Linked DNA regions of Drosophila melanogaster. The protein of the gene in region 3 interacts with the protein of the main gene of each other region in a pairwise test. Each region holds a gene or a part of one and is shown on either strand. Other genes may lie near its edges.

Region 1 (4,831 bases), on a different chromosome or scaffold from region 3:
TCTTTACTTTTCGGTCTTTTTACATCGTCATAGGAGTCTAAGCTTTTGGTTTTTAAAGTATTATGCGAACTTTTGATAGGTTTTAGATCAGTATCTCCATGAAAGGCTCCACTAGCATCAAAACTGCCACCCAATTTCGATGGATTTTCAATTGCCCATTCGGGTAGATTTTCGTCGGCATCAACACCGGCTGCATTATTAACAGTCCATAATTGAGATATTTTAGAACTCGACAACCGTGGGTGCGATATGCTCCCTACTCCCTCTGCAGCTCCGATTCCAGATCCTTTATTGTTTCCAGTCCGATCTGTACTTAAAGTCGCAACTGTTGAAATTGAGCGTTGTAAACTAGCTGCATTGTCGACGCTAGGATCTTCATCACGCCAGCTTGTAGATCTTCCTAAAAAAAATTTTTTTTTAAGTTCTATACTGTTGTTCAATAACTTGGACTATTTAAATTTTAACTTGGTTCATCTTCTTAGCAAATATAGCAAACTTACTAAACAGAAAACCGCTATAGTCGAGCTATTGCAAAACTGTTACCCATTTAGTTAGATACTAGAAATGCAAGCGATATTCAGATATACAAGTAGGAAAGCAAATATGTCAGTGATTGTACACCTGATCCACATAGCGGCAGAACACTAACTCTTAATCACTAAGCACGACAAAAATTTTATAAATACATTATATATACAATTTATTATAGTATCCAAACTTCGATAGAAGATTACCGGGTGAAGAAGTACATTTTAATAAAGCGTAAAGCGTATCAAAGTGTAAAAAGTATATTTGGTTACGTTGTTATGTATAGGCAAGCCCATATTTGAATAGTTTGAACTGTTAGTTAGTTGGACTTTGATACATAACACTTAAAATGGGCTCGCGTTTTTTTATTTTTCAATTTTGATAAATCAAGTCTATTCTGGAAAAAAAAAGATCATTATTTGAAAACGTACTAAAGCTACCAGCGATGTACTTTAGGAATGAAATAAAAACAAGGCCTGATGCATTGCATAGAAATTACCATAGGGATTTCAGCTGGTCTATTAGCATTTTTGTTTAAATATTCTCATATAAAATACTTCATTAACTAAAACATTTAATCTTAATTTTAATATATTTATGAAAAGGTTTTTTAGAATACGTTTTAAAGAAACACAAACTTTACAACAGATTGTAGCATGAATGGTATCGAATGAATAGCCAACTATATAGGCTGGGGAAAGTTTTGGAAAGTCAAATTTACATGATAGAGATAGCAGTACATGTATTATTGTGCTCATATGTGTAGGAGTAAAAATGAAAAATAATAATATAAAGGTAATTGACTGACCCCACCGATGGCTATTGGTACCAAAACCTGCGTTTGTACTTCCACCGACGACACCGCTCCGCCAACCAGCAATATCGGGTCCGCTCATGGAACCGCTGGAGGATGGACCATCACCGGATCCATCTTCGTTACGTGTTCGTCGCCAGTTTTCCAAGTTGCGATGATTATTAGAATAATCTTTTCGAGGACTTGAGCTTGGAGTTCCATTCCAATCTAGAGCACCAGAGCCACTAGTGGAGGTGGTGGTTGCCGCAGAATCTCCAGTTCCGTTGCGGTCGCTCCATGTGCGTTCGGCCTGGCAGAAAAAATCAACAACTAATCGTACTTCCTTATTTAGTTCGTATTTGCAATTACCTTTGATATAACCGATAAGCTTTCATCATATAGACCGCTTGGGCGTTGGTATATCGGATGATAGGCCGATTTTCCGCGCATCCGTCCCCGGTCAACGGTTCCACCACGTCCAGAGCCTCGGGAGGCACTACCAAATCCACTGGGCGAGCGCTGCAACCAGGCAGGACGAGACTAGTTTCAAAGAAAAGTAAATTATGTTCTAAAACTCATGTCAAATTACTTCACATACGTTATTGCCAAGTGAGTTTTGGTTGATGTCCTCCTCGGAGCTCGGTGTCAGTGCAAGAGGGCACTGAACCTTTTCCACGAAGAGCTTTTTGAACGATGGCAGGATCTGCGGCAGTAGGCAGTTCCGATCGAACAAGGACAGCATTTCCTCGCGTCCGTACCGGTATTCTGGAAATAGATTACGGGAAGCGGATGCCGCCGTGTTGTTTCCCAGGTTGTGCCCTCCAATCGAATTGTTTTGAGCTGCATTACCAACGTTGTAGGTACTGGGAGAGCCCGAAGGCTCGGCTGACATATTGCGCAACCATTCCGGGCCAAATTTCATTGAATCTGTCATTTTTATTTGCCTCTTGTTTAATGTTATGCTGACAATAAGTTCAAAAAAGTTTTTGGTTGATTTATTTGTAAGAAAGGCAATGAAATCAAATTTTCAGTGTTTTTGTTAAACTCCTAATGGCTTTATGATTCTGTGCACAATTGTTTATTTTTCAAACAGTTCAAGTTCTATAAATAAAGCAAACAGCTTCAAGTCTTTTTCAAAGCAAACAGTACAACAAAGGATTTATTTTAAAGCTTAGTTAAGAACTAGTGATAAAAAAAAACTTACCAGAGCTTTACAGAATGGATAGTAAAAGTAAAATAATATAATATAAAAGCAACACAGAAACCTAACCTAAAATATCAAACTGATTGTCACACACGAACGCGAAATACACATGCACCCTCATCACACATTAAAATTAACATGTTTATAGAATTGAAATGTCTGATTCGAGCTTTCATGTTTGAAATATAGAACTAATAGAACTAATATAGATCTAAAAGGTAAAAAAAATTCGTAAGTATCTGGACGCATACAGACACACAGTGATGTATGTACAAATTTTTGATTTGTGTGACTTTATCACACTGGGCGGGTGTGTTTTATTTTAAAGATTGTTTAGTTAATTCTTCTGGTAATCTTAATAAAATCAAGCCACTATAACTGCACATCCTAAAAAAATTTTTTAAATTGAATTTCGTAAAAATATTCAACTTACACGTACCACCGAGATATCTTAAAATACCAACGCCAACATAAGATAGAGCAAGGCCAGCGTGGCCGTCTTGCGATATGTCAAGCTTCCAATTTAATTTAGCACAGGGGTATTCTTGCCACTTTTGCTTCTTATACACTAGCTCCACTACTACTAGTTGACAGATACATCACCCTTGTCTTCACATTGCAACATCAAGCACCGGGATTTAGAGAATGCATAAGTGTCAATCTTTAAATCAACCAATCCGTCTGTCTGTAAGAACGTCTCGCTTTCAGGAACTATAAGAACTAGAACTTAAAGCATGCTGATTCTATAGATATAGACGCAGACGATGTTTCCACGACCACTAACTATGTGTTGATTTTTTTCTTTAAGTTGAGTAACGGGAATTCTTGCTTTAATATTATTATTTAATTATTATCACTGCCAAAGCTAGATTCCTACCTTGTTGTTAGCTTTGTATTGAAACTTAGTCTTTCGGAATTGTTAATAATTTTATATTTAACAAGCAGTCGATTTTCATTTCAAGTTCAAGTTTTTCAGTATTATAACATAACAGTAGAAATAGTAAAGTGTAAGTAAACGATGTATTAGTTTATTTTGAATAAATATATAAATACAAATGTATATATTTAAATATATATATATATATATATATATAGTAGTGGATATATATATTTATATATATATATATAAATTTTAATATGGTTACATTATTTTCATAACCGTTTTCATAACCACGTTTGTCTGGTTTGATCCAAAATGAATACCTGGTTTGTGATTATTTTGGTCTTTTTACATAAGTCATGAAGTGAGGGGTATGTGTCAAAAATTTGCTGCGATGTATACGCACCCCTTTTGTCTTTTGTATAACTGTCTGTTCGTACGTATGAACGCCCAGATATTGGAAACGAAAATCGCCAATGGTGCATGTGATTTGTCTGAAAACGATATGACGCCCATAACGCTGATGCCCATGTTCTGAAGGATTTTCGGATACCTTAATCGTATAACAGCGAAGCTCGAGCGATCTTAATCTTTACCACGTTTCGAGGCAGTGAGTACATCTGAAATTTTGGCACTGTTCCCAGATCGGGCGCTTAACGCATCGCTTATAATGCTTTTAATTTAGCGTAAGGGTCATTTCAAAATGTAAACCAAAAACGCAGACTTCGTAACGAGACCTAAAGTCAGTTGCACCCGTTCTGAGCGTTCCTGCGTGTGGGGGAAAAAATATCATTGCAACAGCAGGATCTCAGCCTGCTCCAAGTTAGGAGTATGAGAAGGAATGGCGAGCAGTAGGCGAGGCTTCTCGTTATCTCGGCAAGGATGAAAACGGCTTCTAAGGCAGTTAAACTTTATACATATAATCTCCTACAGTACGTCGTTAACCAACGTGGAAAGGCCTTCAACACAGTTACAACGACAGGGTGAGTGCATAATATGTAAGCCTGATGTTGGTTCCCATTAAGTGCAAGATAAAGACAAATAAATATATATTAAATTTGAACCTCATAAGTAACAATGGGACGGTTATCCAGATTAGAGTTGATTGAATCCCCATATAATTCTATGGTTTAAGCTAAATTTCTGAACTATTAATTTTGTTAAGAAAATAGTGAAGTTCGGCACGCTGAAGTCGCCATGATACAAAAAAGATAAATATATTAAGAATGGAAGTAGTTATTTAATTTAGCTTTATTGTGCTATAATATTAGATCATGGACTAGAATTATAAGATTACTAGTATGCCTCCAGAAATCGAATGATATGCATATGGTGTAGGTGTTAAAAATATTTAAATAAACATGAATTTTGAATTTTTAAACATTTTTAAACATTTGAACAATAACATGGTGTCCTTGATATTATG
Region 2 (7,155 bases), on a different chromosome or scaffold from region 3:
AGATCGAGAACGCCGCCGATGGTAAAAATGCCAAGAACAACAAGAAGAAGTAAACTGCTGACCGCCAATCATCCATCGAGGTTTAAGCTATGAACGTGTAGATTTTAAAGCAAAAACAGTTTTAGGCCCTATAATACAATACGATGCATACTGAGAATACAATCTAGTTCCTTTTGAACAGCTCCTTTTACATTCAATTCAAAGACAACGTTGTGTGCTCGGTCGTGTTTCCCCAGCGAATGGTCTGTCGCTCAGCCAGGAGTTCCGCACCCGGAAGCGGGAGCGGATCGGACTGTGACTGATCCGGACACTAATCGAACACACAGATTTGTATATATATTAAAGTATAACTAAAGCTAAGCCGGACTTCCTGTACGCGCCCCTTCATATTTGCAGTATGAAAATAAACTTGTCGGAATACAAACAATATTATTGCATTTTACTAAAGTGGGAGTTCGTTTTAAACGCTCTCTTACACTGATGAACTAAGTGGCAACTATAAATACTTATCTTCCCCGTTTAGCAAACATTCTTGAAACCAGGCATTTAATCAATTTCAGTTTTATTTCTCCCATCAATTCGTTACTCATCAATTGAAATTTCAGATTTGGTAATGCTAAAGGGCTATCATGATTGCAGTTCTATGAAGTGGATCAAAGCGATATCGGGAATGCCTTCAAAGATTGCGGGTCGCTGCTAGTAAATAGTGATCTCTAGTGCTTCTTCAGTGCTTGCTTAGTTCGGCGAGGGCATAACCTTGATGCGCTCGAAGGCTTGTTTCTCCAGGGTCTCGCGGTGCTTGGGATCGGCGATCTGGATGAGTTCGTACATCCTCTGGCGCACGTTCTTGCCGAACAGCGAGGCGATTCCATGCTCCGTGACGACGTAGTGGACGTGGGCACGCGAAGTGACGACGCCAGCGCCTTCCTTCAGCGTGGGAACAATCTTGCTCTCGCCCTTGTTGGTGGTCGATGGCATGGCAATAATTGGCACACCCAGTCCATCGAGACCCTCCGCCGCTCCGCGAATGAAGTCCACCTGTCCGCCGAAGCCGGAGTAGAAGCGGGGACCAATCGAGTCTGAGCACACCTGTCCAGTCAGATCCACCTCGATGCAGCTGTTGATGGCCGTCATGCGAGGCTGCTGTTTCACAATGCTGGTGTTGTTCACATAGTCGATGGCGTACATCTCTGAAAGGTGGACAGTGAGGCATTAGATCGAGCTCATATCCCATACATTTTCAATTCAACTTCAGTGTTTCAGAACTAAACCTACCGATGAAGGGATTGTTGTCCACGAAGTCATACAGAGCCTTGTCACCGATGAGGAAGGAGCCCACAATTCTGCCCTGGTGCATCTTCTTCTTGCTGTTGGTGACGCATCCCTTGCGCACGAGCTCAACGACACCGTTGGCGAACATCTCGGAGTGGATGCCCAGATCCTTGTGGTTGTGCAGGGCGGCGAGTACGGCGTCTGGGATGCTGCCAATGCCCATCTGCAGGGTGGCGCCGTCCTTGACGAGGTTCTCGGCAATGAGCTTGCCGATCTTCTTCTCCACTTCGGAAATCTTACCAGTTCCGTGCTGAGGCAGATCATCGGTCACCTCGATGGCGAGGTCGAAGTGAGACTTGTGGATGATGGCATCGCCGAAGGTGCGCGGCATCTTGGGATTGATTTGAGCTAAAGAAGGAGTAGCATTAGTCCCACTATAAATCATACAACTGACGTTCACGCAACTCACCCACAATGAGCTTCGAGTTGAGCAGCGCAGCGCGCACACAATCGACGCTGGTGCCGAGGGAGCAGTAGCCGTGGTTATCCGGCGGCGACACGTGGATGAAGGACACATCTGGCTTTACGATCTGCTTGTAGAACAGATTCGGGATCTCGTGAAGGAAGATCGGCACATTATCGCCACGACCGTCGGCAACAGCCTTGCGCACGTTGGCGCCCATGAAGAAGGAGTTTGAACGGAAATGGTCCTTGTACTCCGGCTTGGCGTACTCGCCAGGACCCTCCGTGTGCATGTGGCACACCGTGACGCACTCCAGGTTGTTGCTCTTTCCGTGCTTGGCCATCGCGTTCAGCAGAGCCACGGGCGTGGCGGCTGCTCCTCCGGCGAAAACCGTGTCACCTGAATGGAATGAAGGCGAGAAACCGCAGGTTTTATTACCAATATTTTTATTACGCACACGCTGCTAATCAGTCAATCGGCAGTTATTGTACACTTTAATCTATTCAGCAGGTCTTATCTAAAGATTTGCATGACATGCTATCCGAGCGCCTACAAATAATGCTTTTCAATATTGTCTAATTAAATTAGTTATGCTTTGAGTGTTCAATGATAACGAAATAACCAGGATTACTATCAGTTCTTGAACTTTATGATATCTTAATTTGAAGAGCGTGGCCTAATCCATTCAATGGAATCCTGAGCTGGCAATTAATGCACTTCGAAATAAAATAAGTTTATAATGTCGCTAAGAGAAAAACTTGTTTTGAAATTAGAACACTCTCTGATAATTGATAATAAAAAACATTCATATATATATTTATATTGTTATTAAAATTGTTATAAATAGTAATATAAACATTCTTTAGAGCTTTAATCAGCAAATAATGTTTCTCTAAGTCATTCATGGTTATTTACATATTTTTATTGCGCTGGTCATGCTTTCATTGAGACTATAAATTTGTTTCCAAAACGAATTGTTCCGAAATTCGGTAATTTTCTCTCTGATCATTCCACTTGCTCTCGAAAGCTTAAAAGCTATAGCTATACATACATACATTCATATGTAAAAATGTATATTAGTTAATAGGCAGAGTGATAATGCGAATGCGAGGAGTGGGAGCGCTTATTGCCCAGAAACGCGTGATAATGAATGTTTGTAAATAAATAACACCGGTTTCCCAGTTGGCATTACATGGCAAACATGTCGATTCGAGATTATAGTATAATATATAGATTTTGTCATTTGATTAACGAGCCAGAAAGTAGAAGCACATCAATTGATCAAAATGTATCTGATTGGGCTGTGTTACGTAAGAGAATTGTAGCTTTTAATCGGAACTTTGGGACGAATGATACTTGTATACTTGGTCTATAAAAATGTATAAATTTTGTATCTATTTAATACACATCTGAATTGCATCTCTAATGCAGTCTTAAGCACATGCAACATGTTTGGCCAATCTATTTTGGTCTCCCCCCTGAAGAGGCTGGCATTCCGAAGTTCCTCTGTATGAGGGAATAGAAAGAACCATGATGTACATTAAGTCGAACGAGCGAGCCCCTTCAACTGGGGTAATCATGCGATAAGTGCGATTCTTATCGGTAGACGTCTGAGCCACGTCGACACACACGGTCAAGTTTTCCGCGAGGCTTCACAATCAATTTATTTATTTATTTACCGTTACTTGAAAAGGCCAATTATGCATTTCTTACGCATAGGCTTAGTTAGCTAGTGCCTACTGTACCACTTATTATCTGCCAAAAACGTGCCAAACGAAAAAGTTTTCCAAATCAAATTACGTCGCAGATTTGGCATGGCTCGTGTTGGTGATTTTGGCTAAAATTAGAGATACCGATTTTGGGTGACGTTTCGCTGGGCGCTGCGATGTGCCACTCCCCCTCCAAAGACCCGCCCCCCTCCGCAATATCACCAATTTGCAGGGACCTGCTGATGAGATGCCGTAGAAGTGCTAAGAAATTGAGATTTAAGCGGGCGCCGAGGGCGTGTCCACATATTTGTTTGCATCTGAATCCCAGGAGACTCGCCTCCAAATTGGGACAATTGAATTTAATCAGAGCAGAGGGTTCCCAAAAATCAGATGACTGGTTTCGTTAAACGAACATATACAAATTATCTAACAGATTTATCGTTTTGATAAGAAAGCTTGTTAGGAATTAATGAATATTTTTCGAAGCACTCCATTCATGCTTTTGTTTCCATAATTCACCTGCTGATACACGTTGCATAACCTTGCCTTCTTATAGAGGTGCTGCTATATACCATAGTATATGGTATATAGGTTCCTACAGAGAGCAGGCCTTATCAGCACCACATCCAGAGGCCGGCTGACTTGTTTATGAGCTACATACAAGGTTGTTCTTGCCACCAAGCTGAGCTTTGCATCGGACCTTTCTCTTCTTTTTGCCCGGGGTACAAAGTACAACTTGGCTGGAAACTCATCTATAGCGCCGAGTATACTCGTATGCATTATTAAATGTGTATAAATATCTACATATGTACGTGGTAGGGGCACGCACAGCTGGTTTCACGCGATTAAATGAATATAACTTACAGTTGTGCTGCTGCAACACCAGGAATTACGAATAAAAACATGGGGTCTACTGATAGCCGCCACAAGGAGGATAGCATTTTGATAAGGGCAGCTACTTGAAGTGTGATTTCCCTATTGTATAACTCCCCTAACTATTTATCATACTAGAACCCCAATCAACTAAAAACCTATTCCCTATCACAAGGTAATACAATACACTAAATATTTGATTCTAACTTGTGTATTATATATCCCCACGAGTGGCTCCTAATCACGGTCAATTAAATGCCAGCCATCCATATACCCAGCACCCTGTGAGTGCCCTTCCCTATTTACGTACATATGTACGTATGTACATGCATATGTGCTCCAAAGTAGTTTGGATTGCGGGCACACATGGGCTTACATTTGCATGGCCCCACAACCCGGTGTTCTCGTTTTCATTCTGTTTTCATAAGCAAGCCCACTAGAAGGTTACATAACCGAAAGATTGCAAACAGCGCAAGGCAGCGATAACTGGGAGGCCAGTTCCGCTAGGACGGTGGAAGGGGGGGCGTGGCGGGCTCCTGGCCAAATGATATGGGGGCCAGTGGGACTCACCGGATTTTACACATGCCACGGCCTCTTCCGGCTTGACGATTGGAGGCTCTCGAGCGATGGGATGCGACAGCTCCCGCACGTAGGTGAAGTAGTTGTTGTGGGCGGAGACCGAGGAGGCGGTGGCCGCCGTCTTCAGGAGGCTGTTCAGCTGGCCCACATGGCGCGCCAATTGTTTGCTCATGGTGGACTGTGTAGTGTAGTAGTGTGTACTGAGTACTCTGTTGTAGGCACGCACGTCGCAAAGGGTTAAGCGAGAAGTCCGCGAGATGCAGGAGGCGATGAGTGGTGGGTTTTCACTGGGGAGAGACTGCTGCGCTGAGTTCCGTCCGCTGCGGCACCAAATTTGCAACTGGTTCGCCAAGCAAAAACGCCATAAAAGCTCCGCGGCGAAAGCTCTCTTCCACCGATCGCAATTTAATCCCGCCCAGCTGCGGCCTACTCCTCTGCACTTCGTAGCACTCACGTAGATGTACTCATTTGATTGTTTAATGTGTTCCAATGTGGTAAGGAATTTTGAAATCTATTGTTTCTTTCCACATTTTATTTTGATATTTCAAAAACTACCAGCTGCCTGTGTTGAGCAACGCACGGGCAGTTCGATAATACCGGCTATCGATATTTATCGATTGTTGGTGCATTTGGCGCCACTTTTGAACGCTGATAAGTGCAATTCTTAGGCGAATGAAACACATTGTTTTGGTTTTTAAAGTCTATACTGGTAGAGCATTTACTTGGCGTTTATTCACTAGGATTATTCGTTCGATTAATCAAAATTCCTAATACATAAAAGCGCTTTGGACTAACGATTAAAAAATAACAAATTACATTAGTTCCGCGTTAATATCATAAAAAGACCTTATGTGATGTATACAACGCAATTCCTCTATGTACAGGCTTAAAACGTAGGCTCGTAGATATATCAAAAGTTTGATCTATGATGTATTATAGCGCATGTGCTGTAATACATTGCTATGACTAGTTTATGCGATTTGCTGCCTCTAGATCTAGACTCAAATTAATTGGCCGCTTGCGAAACGGCTTCGGCACAATCTGGGGATACGAGTTAGTACATATGTATGTATGTGTATGGTCTATCGCTAGTATTCGTAGGTTTAGTTTCTGGTTTCAGTTTGAAGGATTGCCGCCCCGTCGCTTGGAACTCTGTCGATCTTTGGATCTGGACGGAGCCTAAACACTTCCAGTGATGATCGACAAACTGAAGGGCGAACGGCACAAGATTGGAGGTTGCAACAACACGGCGATTCCAATTGAATGTGTGACTAGAGGGTTACTTATAGTATGAGTTGTGCAGCGCCGGAGGCGAGGGTCTTTGGGCTTCTGGCTTCCGGTTTCCGGTTTCCGGCTCATGCCTTCTGGCTTCCGGCTTCTGCCTTCTGGCCTTTGATTATTTTCGGTTAGTTAGCTAATGCAGAGTACTTGCTGAATGTTCGTTTACAGTGACTAAGACTACTGCTTAATAATCCTACTTAGATAACGCTATTAGCTAGGCTTCCTTGCTGCTGACTGATTGGTTTCCATTCCGTGGGCTCCCCGGCCTTACCTCGTGGCCAGCGTCATGTTGAGGCACAGCTCGTGATCCCGCATGTCGCCCCAGCCGCCGTTGCCTTTGCGCAGCTTCGACTTCTTCATCAGACTGGGCACCGTGAGGGTGAGGGAGCGCGGGAAGAGCTGGTGCGAGTTGCGGGCTATGCGCAGCACGTGCTGCACCTTCGAGATCACCTGGTTGGACTCGCAGTTCTTGTTCTTGTGATGAACGCCGCTGGAAGGGAGGAGGACACGAATTACTATGGCGCTCCGTTGGACGACAGGGGTCCACATGCTCACCATTCTCCGATGTGGAAGACTCGCGGCCCCTTGACAATCATGGCGTGCAGCTTTCGCCGCAGACACTGCTGCGAAACGTGCTGCAAGGACCAGTCCCAGTTGTAGTCATCGTAGGTGCAGAAGTGGCGGGCGCATTTCCGGATGTTCGACCAGGTGGTGCGATTGAAGGCGAAGCCCATGTTGTGCTTGCTGCTGACCCAGGGCATGACCTCCACCTGCCGAAGAGAAGAACCAGGTCAACCAAGCACAATGCACAAAATAATGGGGCAAGCAACAATATAGAAAACGGATTAGCAAAAGGTAAGGTTGGGGGTGGAGTGGAGGCATGCAAATTTCAAATTTCCGCGTCGTTCGGATTCCGCTCTCCACGGGCACTTGCTCCGTCTTCGTCCTGGACTAACCACTAGGCGGATTCAAAGTGCT
Region 3 (4,719 bases):
AATCAGCGAATGCGCCACTTATAGGGATATCTGCTTAACTCGTTCTTTATCTCTGTTTACGCCCAGAGTTTTCCGGCAGCAGAGCAGCTGGGAAAGCTGAGGCTGATTGTCAATTTGCGGAAAGCGGGGCGAGGAGCTCGTCCACTGCGCACTGCCCTGCCCGCCTCCACTTCCATTCCCGATCCCAATCCCAATGCCAATCCCAGAGGCACGGGCACAGACTCCCCGCCGTTGTTGTTTGCAAAAATAGAATTTTGTCTCTGATTTTAAGTATTTCGCGTGAAAAGTAACAGAAGCGACCCGAACGGCACGGGCCAGACCAACCACACTATACTATACTACACTATGCCATACTATATAGACTATAGACCAGACAAGCGCCCCAGACATCGCAGGAGGATGGAGGATGGGGGATGAAGGACGGGGGGACGGGCTTGGGGATTGCCAGTCAGAGTCAGAGTCAGTGTCTCTCAATTGCAAATTTATGTGAATTGAGTCAATTTTATCGCAGCCATCTAGGGAGTTAGTTTGGGTTAGTTTACTTTTGACTTGTTTGTCCCTGGAAAACTTTGCGTCGTTTGACTGGCGTAAATCGAACGACTGGAGCCACTTGAACTTGTCGCTGCCAGCGGTTATCCTTTTCTGGCTTCCTCCTCCTCCTCCTCCTCCTCCTCTTGTCACTCCTCCTGTCCTGCTGCTCGCTCGTGCTGACCAGCTGGGTTCGCCATCTGTGGATTATTAGCTCGCCAATGAACGTGAGGGCGGCCCAGCAGCTGCCCACCACCAGGATGAAGAAGGGTCCCTTCAGGTGCTCCGTGGTCAGGACGATAGCCGTTTCCGGGAACTGGGGGCGCATCTTGTTGATCCTGTTGAGGTACGTGTTGTTGTACCTAAAGTCCGCGTCGATCTTCTGAAAAATGCCCACGTCGCGCATGAGGCGGATGATGCTGTTCATCTCGAAGAGAAAGGGGAATCCCGCCTTCATGATCATCTGCACCGGACTGCTGAAAACGTTGTTGGGAAAGGCGTATATGACGTCCGCCAGGGGACTCTGCATCGTGTACATCCGGTTGCTCAGGATGCACCGCTGGCCCCACTTCACCGCCTCCAGGTTCTTCGATTGCGGAATGAACTCCGGCGAAATGTTGTATCCGTTAAAGATCCACATGTCGTCGTCATTCTCGAACCAGTCGCGACTCTCCTCGTGGCCGCCAAACGGAATACCCGCGGCCACCACTTCCGTCAGCTCGTCCAGCTGGTGAAGGTAGCCGGGATCCTGGAAGGTGGCTATCATCTTGGACGTGTATGTAGCCACCACGTTCAGGCCATACAAAGTCAGGGCCATGAAGAACAGCCTCGTCGTCTCGCAAATGGGTCGTTCCTGGACGGCTATCGATATGGTGACGGCCAGGGCATTAATGGCCGTAAGACTCAACTGTTGGTAATACTTCGGCTCCGGAAGAATCATAACCAGGGTGAACCAGAACAGCCAGCTGATTATTAGAATCAGGATGAATCCAATCCAGGTGTAGGCTTCGAAAATACCCACCAACGCCTGCCAGGCGGGTCTTCTGTCGGCCATTTTTATGTACCACGTGTGCGCATCCTGCAGATAGGTATCGGATCCCCAAAAATGGTCCGCCACCTCGTTGTCCGGATAATAGCCGCCGAAGACAAAGTCGCACTCGTTGTTCTGGACTTTCCCCAGTAATCCAGTCCAGTTAGCTGGGCCATCCATTTCACCACGTGACTCCAGGCTGCAGGTTTGGTTTACCTTACCAGTGGAAAATAGGATAGTTGTTAGCTTAGCACAATAAGCAGGACTTTTGCAAGCCAAGACGATCTTGAAGTATGAAAGTGTTAAATACTCACATCGAATTTCAGTCGATTTTTCATGAACCCCAGGATCCTCATCTCTAGTCCCAGGATACAGTCGGCCTCCACAAAGGGAGCAGAGATGGAGGAACAGGCAAAAAAGGTGCAGTTCCTGGGACTGAATCCTGATACGTAGTCCTGCATGGAGGCCTTAACGACAGCATTATTGGGGTAAAGTTTGCCATCGTGGCACTGGCCCACGCTCTGGACATTCAGAATCCTGCAGTTTACATTGCTGTAGTAATCATTGACCAGCAGATTGTAGTTCATGGTGGAGTTGGCATAGAGAAGAGCAACTCGGTGCACGTAAAACATTTCCATGAGGTCCTTGAAAATATTGGAGGCTACGCCAAGCGGTCGATTCCGACAAGTCGCATTATGAAAGAGCACCAGAAAACGCGCTCCTGGATTCCAGGATCGCATTTCGACAATTTTTTTCTTCATTAGCTCTTTTAATCGATCCACCGAGTCCACCACTATCACATAATTGTCCGCTAGGATCAGCTCTCCCTTGTCTTCGGTCCCATTCGTGATGTTGTAATCACTGGCCACGCGCATTTGGAAGAGTTCCTCCCTGTCCGGCGGCCCTGGATTCGTGACTGCTTCGTTGATCAGTTTGCTGAATCCTTCCTGGATCTGATCCGCCGGACTGGACAGATGAAAGGCGTGCACCAGCATCAAGTTATAGGCTCTGGTGAAGCGCTCCTTCGGGTTGCGAAAGAAGAAGATTTGGGCGAAGCTATCGAGGCAGCCCACTCCAGCCTTCCACACATCGGGACCCAAGTCCTTTTCGGGCAGCATGAAGATGACCGTGTTGGCCGTCTCATTCGAAAGATTCACTATCCCCTGGCACAGGTTTAAAATCTGCCCCAGAAAGATGATGATGATGAGACCCGGATTATTACACCACATTATTGCTTCTGTCACGTCGGACAATTGCGAATTAACTGCGGCTGGTGTGAGTTTCCGTGGGAAGGTGATGTGACTGATGTCCTACATTTGATTGCTTGGGTATATCGGTTTGGGGTCTGGAACAGTATTAACACTACACAGTGCCTCTGACTGATCCATCGCAAATCGCTGTAATATGATAATCCGTCCATTAAACAACCACTGCTGGCTTGTAAAAGTGCATTAAGTCATTCTGGAGTTTCGCGTCCGGAAGCGCATTCAACTTTCGCCTTTGGCCGTTGTTTGCCTTGTATAATTGACTGCTGTCAGCGTGCCGACAACGAGGATGCCCCCAGCAACAATAATAACAACAGCAGAAAACAACAAACAATCGCCATTGCAACATGCAAGGCTTAAATTAAAGCAAATATTTGCTCAGTCGCAGCGGCGCCACCGCCAACAATGGTCGAAATGCATTAAAACACTCCATCAATCCGAACCTTTTGGCAGGGCGGCCAAAAATACGACGGACTGCATGGTATAATGGCTATATGGCTATGTGGCGCACCAACTTCTGTTCGCTCGTCCGGATTGCGGGGGATGATGACGAGGAGGATGGCCCATGGCGTTGGCCGGAAGTAGCCGGTCATAAAAATAAAACTCGAGATGGCCGACCATCTCGCCAAGTCAATGAGTCATTTGCTGCAATGGAATGGCCATCCTGTCCTGCCCCTTTGGAAACTGCATCCTTGCCAGCTCGAAGCTCCCTGTTTCCCTGTGTCCATGTGGGTGTATCGGCGAGCTCATTTGTCTTAGCAGTTTGTCATTAGAAAAATTGCTCGTAAATTTCGCATTTAATTACAATACAAGAGCCAGCAAATTCAGCAAAGGGCCAGTGCCCAGGGGACTTGAGCGCAATCTTTGGCTGCAACAAAGTTGCAGCGGCATCAGCGAAGATGGATAAACAAAGTTGGCGAAAGGACAAGGATAGCCGAAGAGGGTATACCCTTTCGGATGCCCCGTAATTAAGCCAACTTGTATACCAAAGGTGATTTAAAAGTATGCAGTGAGAGATACAAAATGAGATTCTTTTTGACACCATTGTTATTTCATTAGTTAGTTAGTTAGTTATTGTTAAGTTAAGTTATAAGTTATAAGTTACGACTTATCTAACCAAGCTGATCCTTTAGTCAGGGAGGGTATGGCCAAAAGCCGCTGACTCATTTGGTTCAGTTCGGCTCAGACAGGCGGCAAAACAAATTGCGTGTGATAATTTAGTGTCATCATTTTTGACAAAGGGCGTTAACAGCTCACTTACTCCGCCCCTCGAAGAGCCGCCTTCATCTCGTTCTCCGTCTTCCAGATTTGTGCTGAACCTGAACGACTCGACGCCGCTGACGATTCGCTTTTCGGCGCCCGTGGGCCGCAAGATGTACTACAATCAGACAGGTAAGTCCGCCCCTTTGAGGAGCCGCATACCGCCACCAACCGCCACTAACCCGCCACCCAACCGCCTCTGCAGGAAACCCCCTTCGGCCGGCGGCAGTGGCACCTGGGCCAGGTGTGGCTGTGGGCAGTCTGGTGCTGCCCTGCGCCCTGCGTGGCCAGTACGACCTCTTCGTCCTCGCCCGCCACTCGGGAGCCCTCAAGGTGGACGCCCTGGCAGAGCATCCCCAGCACGACTGGCCCCTCCTCAACGCCACGCACCGAATCGCCATTCGCACCCAGAATCGCGTGCGGAAGCGCGAGATGATCGTCAAGTGGGAAAGGAGGTGAGATCTAGATGATTTTATTACACGGATATACTTATAACTTATGATTATTCAAAATCGTTTCAGCAAGTTTGATTTCCATGTCATGCACTATTGCCTGGTGATTCAGAGACTCTCCATGGACACGCCGCGGATGATCTTCACCAACTTCTGCCAGGCGGTGTCCGCCTACACGGACCAG
Region 4 (4,906 bases), on a different chromosome or scaffold from region 3:
GCGCTTGTCCAAGAGTCGGGTGAATCCGGAGAGGCTGCCGACCACCTCATTGTCACCAGTGCCCCAAAGGCCCAGGCGATCGCGCTGCGCGTATTTATCTAGTTTCGAATCGGGTTTGCTCATCTTGTCTTCCAAATTTGTTTCGCTAGTGGAGCTGTATGAACGTAGTTGCTGTTGTTGTTGCTGTTGCTGGTGGTGAAGGGCGTGCAAACTGCTCTGCAGCTGATTCCAGTGGTGTCGCGAGGATAACGATAACGGCAGACCCTTGGGCAGTTCCAAATCGGTGGCTAAGGCTATATTACCCGGATTCGAATCTCTGTCCCTATGCGTTTCCGTATCCGTATGCGGCGATGTGTCCACTTCGGCGGCACTTTGCGTTGTGATTCGTGTCGTTAGTTTTGCGAAATTGGAAAGTTCGTATTCGAGTGTGGTTGTCGTTGTGGTCGTATGATTTTTACACACACGACTACTACAACAGCTCTGACTCTCTCTCTCATGGCTATTGTTGTTGTTGCTGTTGCTGTTTCTCTTCGTGTAACAGCCGAGCTCGCGCTCTTTGCCGCGACTATATGAGGAAGGACTCTGCGAATTGTTGGCGGTGGGATAAACCGGCGTGCTGAGGGAGAGAGAGAGAGCAGACAATATGTGAATGAATGTCAATGCGGGAGTGACAATAACAACCAATTCGTCACCAACATTCGGATACTCTTTCTGAAAGAACCGATGTTAACATTTTTAATTGAATTTTAATCGTACACACTCCACGTTCCCACACTAACAATTGTTAATAATATATATATTACATTTTAATAGTATATATATCTTATTTGAATAGTATATTATATAACAGTATATAATAATATATGAATTTCACCATAAAAAGCTTTTTGTAATAGCCAAAAAGTCGTAGAGCAATAAAATGGTATTTAGGGTTAAAAGAGGCCCTTAAAGGGTGGGTACTCTTCGTTTCAGATTCCTTATCAAGGTTTTCAGAACCTTTGAAATGCGCTGATATGTTTGAACGTATGTGCATGGTCATATGATGAGGCGATGCATCGCAGACACGCCTTCCAGATGGAAACCGATAAGTGGTGCCAAAGTGACACTGATTATTGCCAATTCAGAAACACACCCTCTTGATCTGTGGTCCAATCGTATGACACCACATTATACTTGTTATTCTGAAATTCTTGCATTCGACTCACGGTCCAAAAGTTTTTCTGATACCAGAACAGCGTCGTAGGATCGAGTACATGGCGGTGCTCTTAAAAGTCTTCTATATTATATACTTATTAGTATATTGATTTGCCGACAATTATCTCACTGAGTATTTGACTTTTGTCTGCGTTGCTGCAGCTTTCGTGCTGAACTGAACCGCAGTATTCGATTTGTTTTGCTACCACCATATGTATACACTTTGCGATTTTGTTTTGTTTCCGCGCTCTTTGGCTCTTTCTCTCCGATTAGTTTCAGTTGTGTGGGGTATATCAGCTGACTGATAAGGGCGGTGCAAACACTATCTGCACATATAAACGCCATTAAACAACGATTATTACCATCAAATCATTTGTCTGGGACCTGGAAAACATTGCGATGCGGCGTGAATAGCATGCGAAAAGTTTCCGTGAGAACAGCAGCGGTCGAAATAATAGTATTCAAATTAGACTATAGAGTATTGCAGTTAGCAATTTCTTATCTACTATTATTTATAATCAGTAGCTTTGATTTTAATGTAAACTTAAGTACAACGTGCGTGCATTACTTGAATTAAATAAACCGAACCTTTTCTATTAGAGATTATTAGACTCGATGGCGTTAAATATAAACCAATAATACCTCCTGAACTTGTGGCATCTGACTAAGTATAAATTATTTAAAGAGACGCCTCAAGGTAGAAGCCCCAAACCCCAACCTTAACCTTCAGTGTCCCGAATCGCTTCAGTTCCCGCCCCACTTTGCACTTGACTCACTCATACGACCGGTGGGCCCGTTCCGCTTTTGCTCGGATGTCTGTTTGATATATTCAATTATTACACAAAAATTGAAAGTAAAACACGGCAGGCGAATAAATTGGAATATATCACACATGTTTGTGTGTGTGCCCGAGCAACCTTCATAAATATTAACAATTTACTTCAGCTTTGCCAACGAATTACATTTTCCAAGTACCTTCGTGAGCAAAACACACCTGTCGCTCTAACTTTTTTTTTTCTTTTTACTTCGAAAATCGTTAATTAAGAAGGTGGTGCTCTAATTTTTTATCGATGGCGTGTGTCAGAAGTTATTCTTTTTTATCGCAACGCCGACGAGTCGCCTGTAAATCGTTGATAAAACACTAGTAAAACGAATCATTGACCACTAATGACACCTCGAGAAACAAATTATTGGAGGGGCGGGGCTGAGGGCGGTGGCTTGGCTTGCATTTGCACAAGAAAAAACTTGTAGTTGCAGGAAAGGATCTACTTAAATATATTAAGTATCGAAACAAAAAATGTTAAGAATTTGTAATGGTTTTTTATAAATAACTTTTTTATGTAAAATATAATTTCCTAATCTTTCAGTTATTAGTTTTTAGTAACAATAAAAATAAACAAATTAATTACAAACATGTTTGCGCATTAGTAAACACAAACTCTTTGGCCAACTCTCGCATTTTCGAAATCCTCTTTTGCCAATCGCTTGAGTTCAGCTTCAGTTTGTTCACTTTTCCATTTCATTTCTTACCCATTTTCATCGAAATTTGTTATGACATTGCGATCGGCGCAAATGGAACTGGAATTACCCATTTTGGGTTCTAAATTTCAGTTAAATTAGCTCCAGTTAAATAGTTATAGTTAATTATTTGGTAAACGCAAAACTTGTGAACTTTTCTAACGCGAAAATTAACTCAGTTCGCTTGACCACGCGATGTTTCACCGGAATTATTAAAAACAGTTATTAACAAAAATTAAAAAAAGTGTATTTTGAGCTATTGCGCTTGACTTAGCAACTCCGAACCGCCTGAAACTGAATCAAAAACTGAACTCGCGCTGAAATCGCGGCTCTGCGAACACCGGAGGCAACTTGCTAGCAGCGGGCGGCCCAAAGGAGAAGGAGAAGGAGAGTGTCCGGTGCTGCCCTCCCGCTCGCACCCGCACGCAGGCAGCACGCGACATTTGCTCCACTGAGTCACTTTGGTAGGCCCAGACGGCTACAGTGGCCCCTCGCTAAAAAGGATGAAATCTAAAATGCATTTTTAATAGGTTTTTAGTTTATTTCTTATATAAAAATCAATAACTTTAAACACTATTTAACGTTGATATTAGGTAATCTGCTGTTTTATTTAACTATAATTTGTAAATTTTTATGCTTTACAAAAGGACTATACAAAAATGGGTTTGTTTGTATTCTCTTTTTAATTTTAATCTAGCAAGACTTTCATTTCGGGGTTTCACCGTATTTGATTAATCGTTGCAGCCTTAGAGAAGCTTTGGCGCTGAGTTGTACTTCACTTGGAGTCACACAAAACCTGAGCGGTTGGTTAATCGCAGTGACCTCTGGGCGGCACACACAAATGCATGAAGCAATTTGTTGCTGGCCAATTAAAAAATAATAATTTCAGCTTTCAAAGAAGGCAACTCGATTGCTGACCATCGCGTCCCAGTCGGCTGCACTTGGCAAGTGGCGAAGAAAAATTTATAAATCCAATGAATTCCGGGTCATTTCAAATGCACTGAGTTGAAACGATGGGGAAGGGGACTCGGTAGTCGGTGTGGTGGATCCTTAGGCTTTTTTCGCCTTTTGACTCTGATTTTATCACCTAATGATTTTACCGCTGTTTCATTTGTCGCCTGGGTGGCACTCGAATTTTAATTAGATTTGCTTTATTGCACTGCTGTCTGTTGAAATCATAATATATATTGCACTAATGTTCAAAGATCTTGTTCAATTGTGCAAATATGACACACATTAATTACTGGGTTTGGTTTGCTATATCGAATTTATTGTTGAAGTGTCGGCTTGTGTTTACTGTCTAAAATTTGCGAAAGTGTCGTATGAAAAGTTGCAACACGATTTCAATTGCTGCCAGGGTCAATTGTAATTTCAGTTAAGTCAGTAAAAAAAAACCATACGGCGGAATCGTGGCTGCATTAATATTGGTATTATCGACATATACGAGAAAATTGTTGGATTATTGAAGTAAAGTGTGCATATAAAACTAACAAAGAATGTCGCTATACCATTATTAACTTATCTACATATGTATTTTAAAAACCACAGATAACATCGTAGTTTGTTAAAATTTCGATTCATTCTATCTAGTTCATACAATAGTGACCACGAAAGTATCTTAAGGAGGCCAACAATAACAATGATTATACAAGCGAAACTCCAAAAAATACTAAAAACCACTCCGAATGGAAATTTCCAGTTAGAAATTTTTATAATTTATATTTTTTTAAATTCGTTTAACAGAACCATAAAACCTAGCATTGCAAAACATTACTGATAAGTGATAGTTCGCTTAAAATATAATAGATGGCGCTATCGTTAAGCTCTAGATTTGGCCGTTAATTTTAGGCGCTACTGTTAATGTAATAAAAGCTTAAAAGCTTTGTTTGCGTTGGAGTGTTCATAAATAATAACAGATGGCGCCAGCTGCAGTTCTGAAAACGACCGTTATTTATCTATGATTAACGGTTTCTTTTGTATTATACAAATACAAATAATAATAATAATTGTAACAATAACACCTTTTGTTATGAATTACATTATTTCACCATAAATTGGTGGGTCAATTTAGGAATGCATGTTTGTAACCTGCGTTAGAAAATAAAATCAATGACCAATTGATAGTTTGCCATTTTATAATACAACACTCAAACCGCGCGATTGCTATTTTAGAGGTGTGTCAGCTGATTTTCCG

The links.
Region 1: the proteins of Ir60a (region 3) and Gyf interact in a two-hybrid assay, tested with the Drosophila melanogaster proteins (one large-scale study listed by BioGRID).
Region 2: the proteins of Ir60a (region 3) and CG7920 interact in a two-hybrid assay, tested with the Drosophila melanogaster proteins (one large-scale study listed by BioGRID).
Region 4: the proteins of Ir60a (region 3) and Men interact in a two-hybrid assay, tested with the Drosophila melanogaster proteins (one large-scale study listed by BioGRID).

Annotation. Positions count from the first base shown.
Region 1 is NC_004353.4:864,012-868,842, forward strand, and holds the start of Gyf (gigyf), read right to left. Parts: upstream 3,015-4,831; 5' UTR 2,965-3,014; exon of another isoform or gene 2,959-2,964; intron 2,284-2,958; 5' UTR 2,256-2,283; coding exon 1,920-2,255; intron 1,862-1,919; coding exon 1,691-1,861; intron 1,632-1,690; coding exon 1,337-1,631; intron 401-1,336; coding exon 1-400.
Region 2 is NT_033777.3:30,009,928-30,017,082, forward strand, and holds CG7920 (uncharacterized protein), read right to left. Parts: upstream 5,358-7,155; 5' UTR 5,069-5,357; coding exon 4,888-5,068; intron 2,135-4,887; coding exon 1,742-2,134; intron 1,681-1,741; coding exon 1,276-1,680; intron 1,191-1,275; coding exon 736-1,190; 3' UTR 549-735; downstream 1-548. Other genes in the region: Nlp (nucleoplasmin), read left to right, coding at 1-53; Mgat2 (mannosyl (alpha-1,6-)-glycoprotein beta-1,2-N-acetylglucosaminyltransferase), read right to left, coding at 6,445-6,667, 6,733-6,947.
Region 3 is NT_033778.4:24,248,517-24,253,235, forward strand, and holds Ir60a (ionotropic receptor 60a), read right to left. Parts: upstream 2,788-4,719; coding exon 1,873-2,787; intron 1,775-1,872; coding exon 539-1,774; downstream 1-538. Other genes in the region: nord, read left to right, coding at 4,130-4,215, 4,289-4,538, 4,605-4,719.
Region 4 is NT_033777.3:12,719,412-12,724,317, forward strand, and holds the start of Men (malic enzyme), read right to left. Parts: upstream 3,032-4,906; 5' UTR 2,787-3,031; coding exon 2,725-2,786; intron 1,374-2,724; exon of another isoform or gene 1,256-1,373; coding exon of another isoform or gene 1,206-1,255; intron 617-1,205; coding exon 1-616.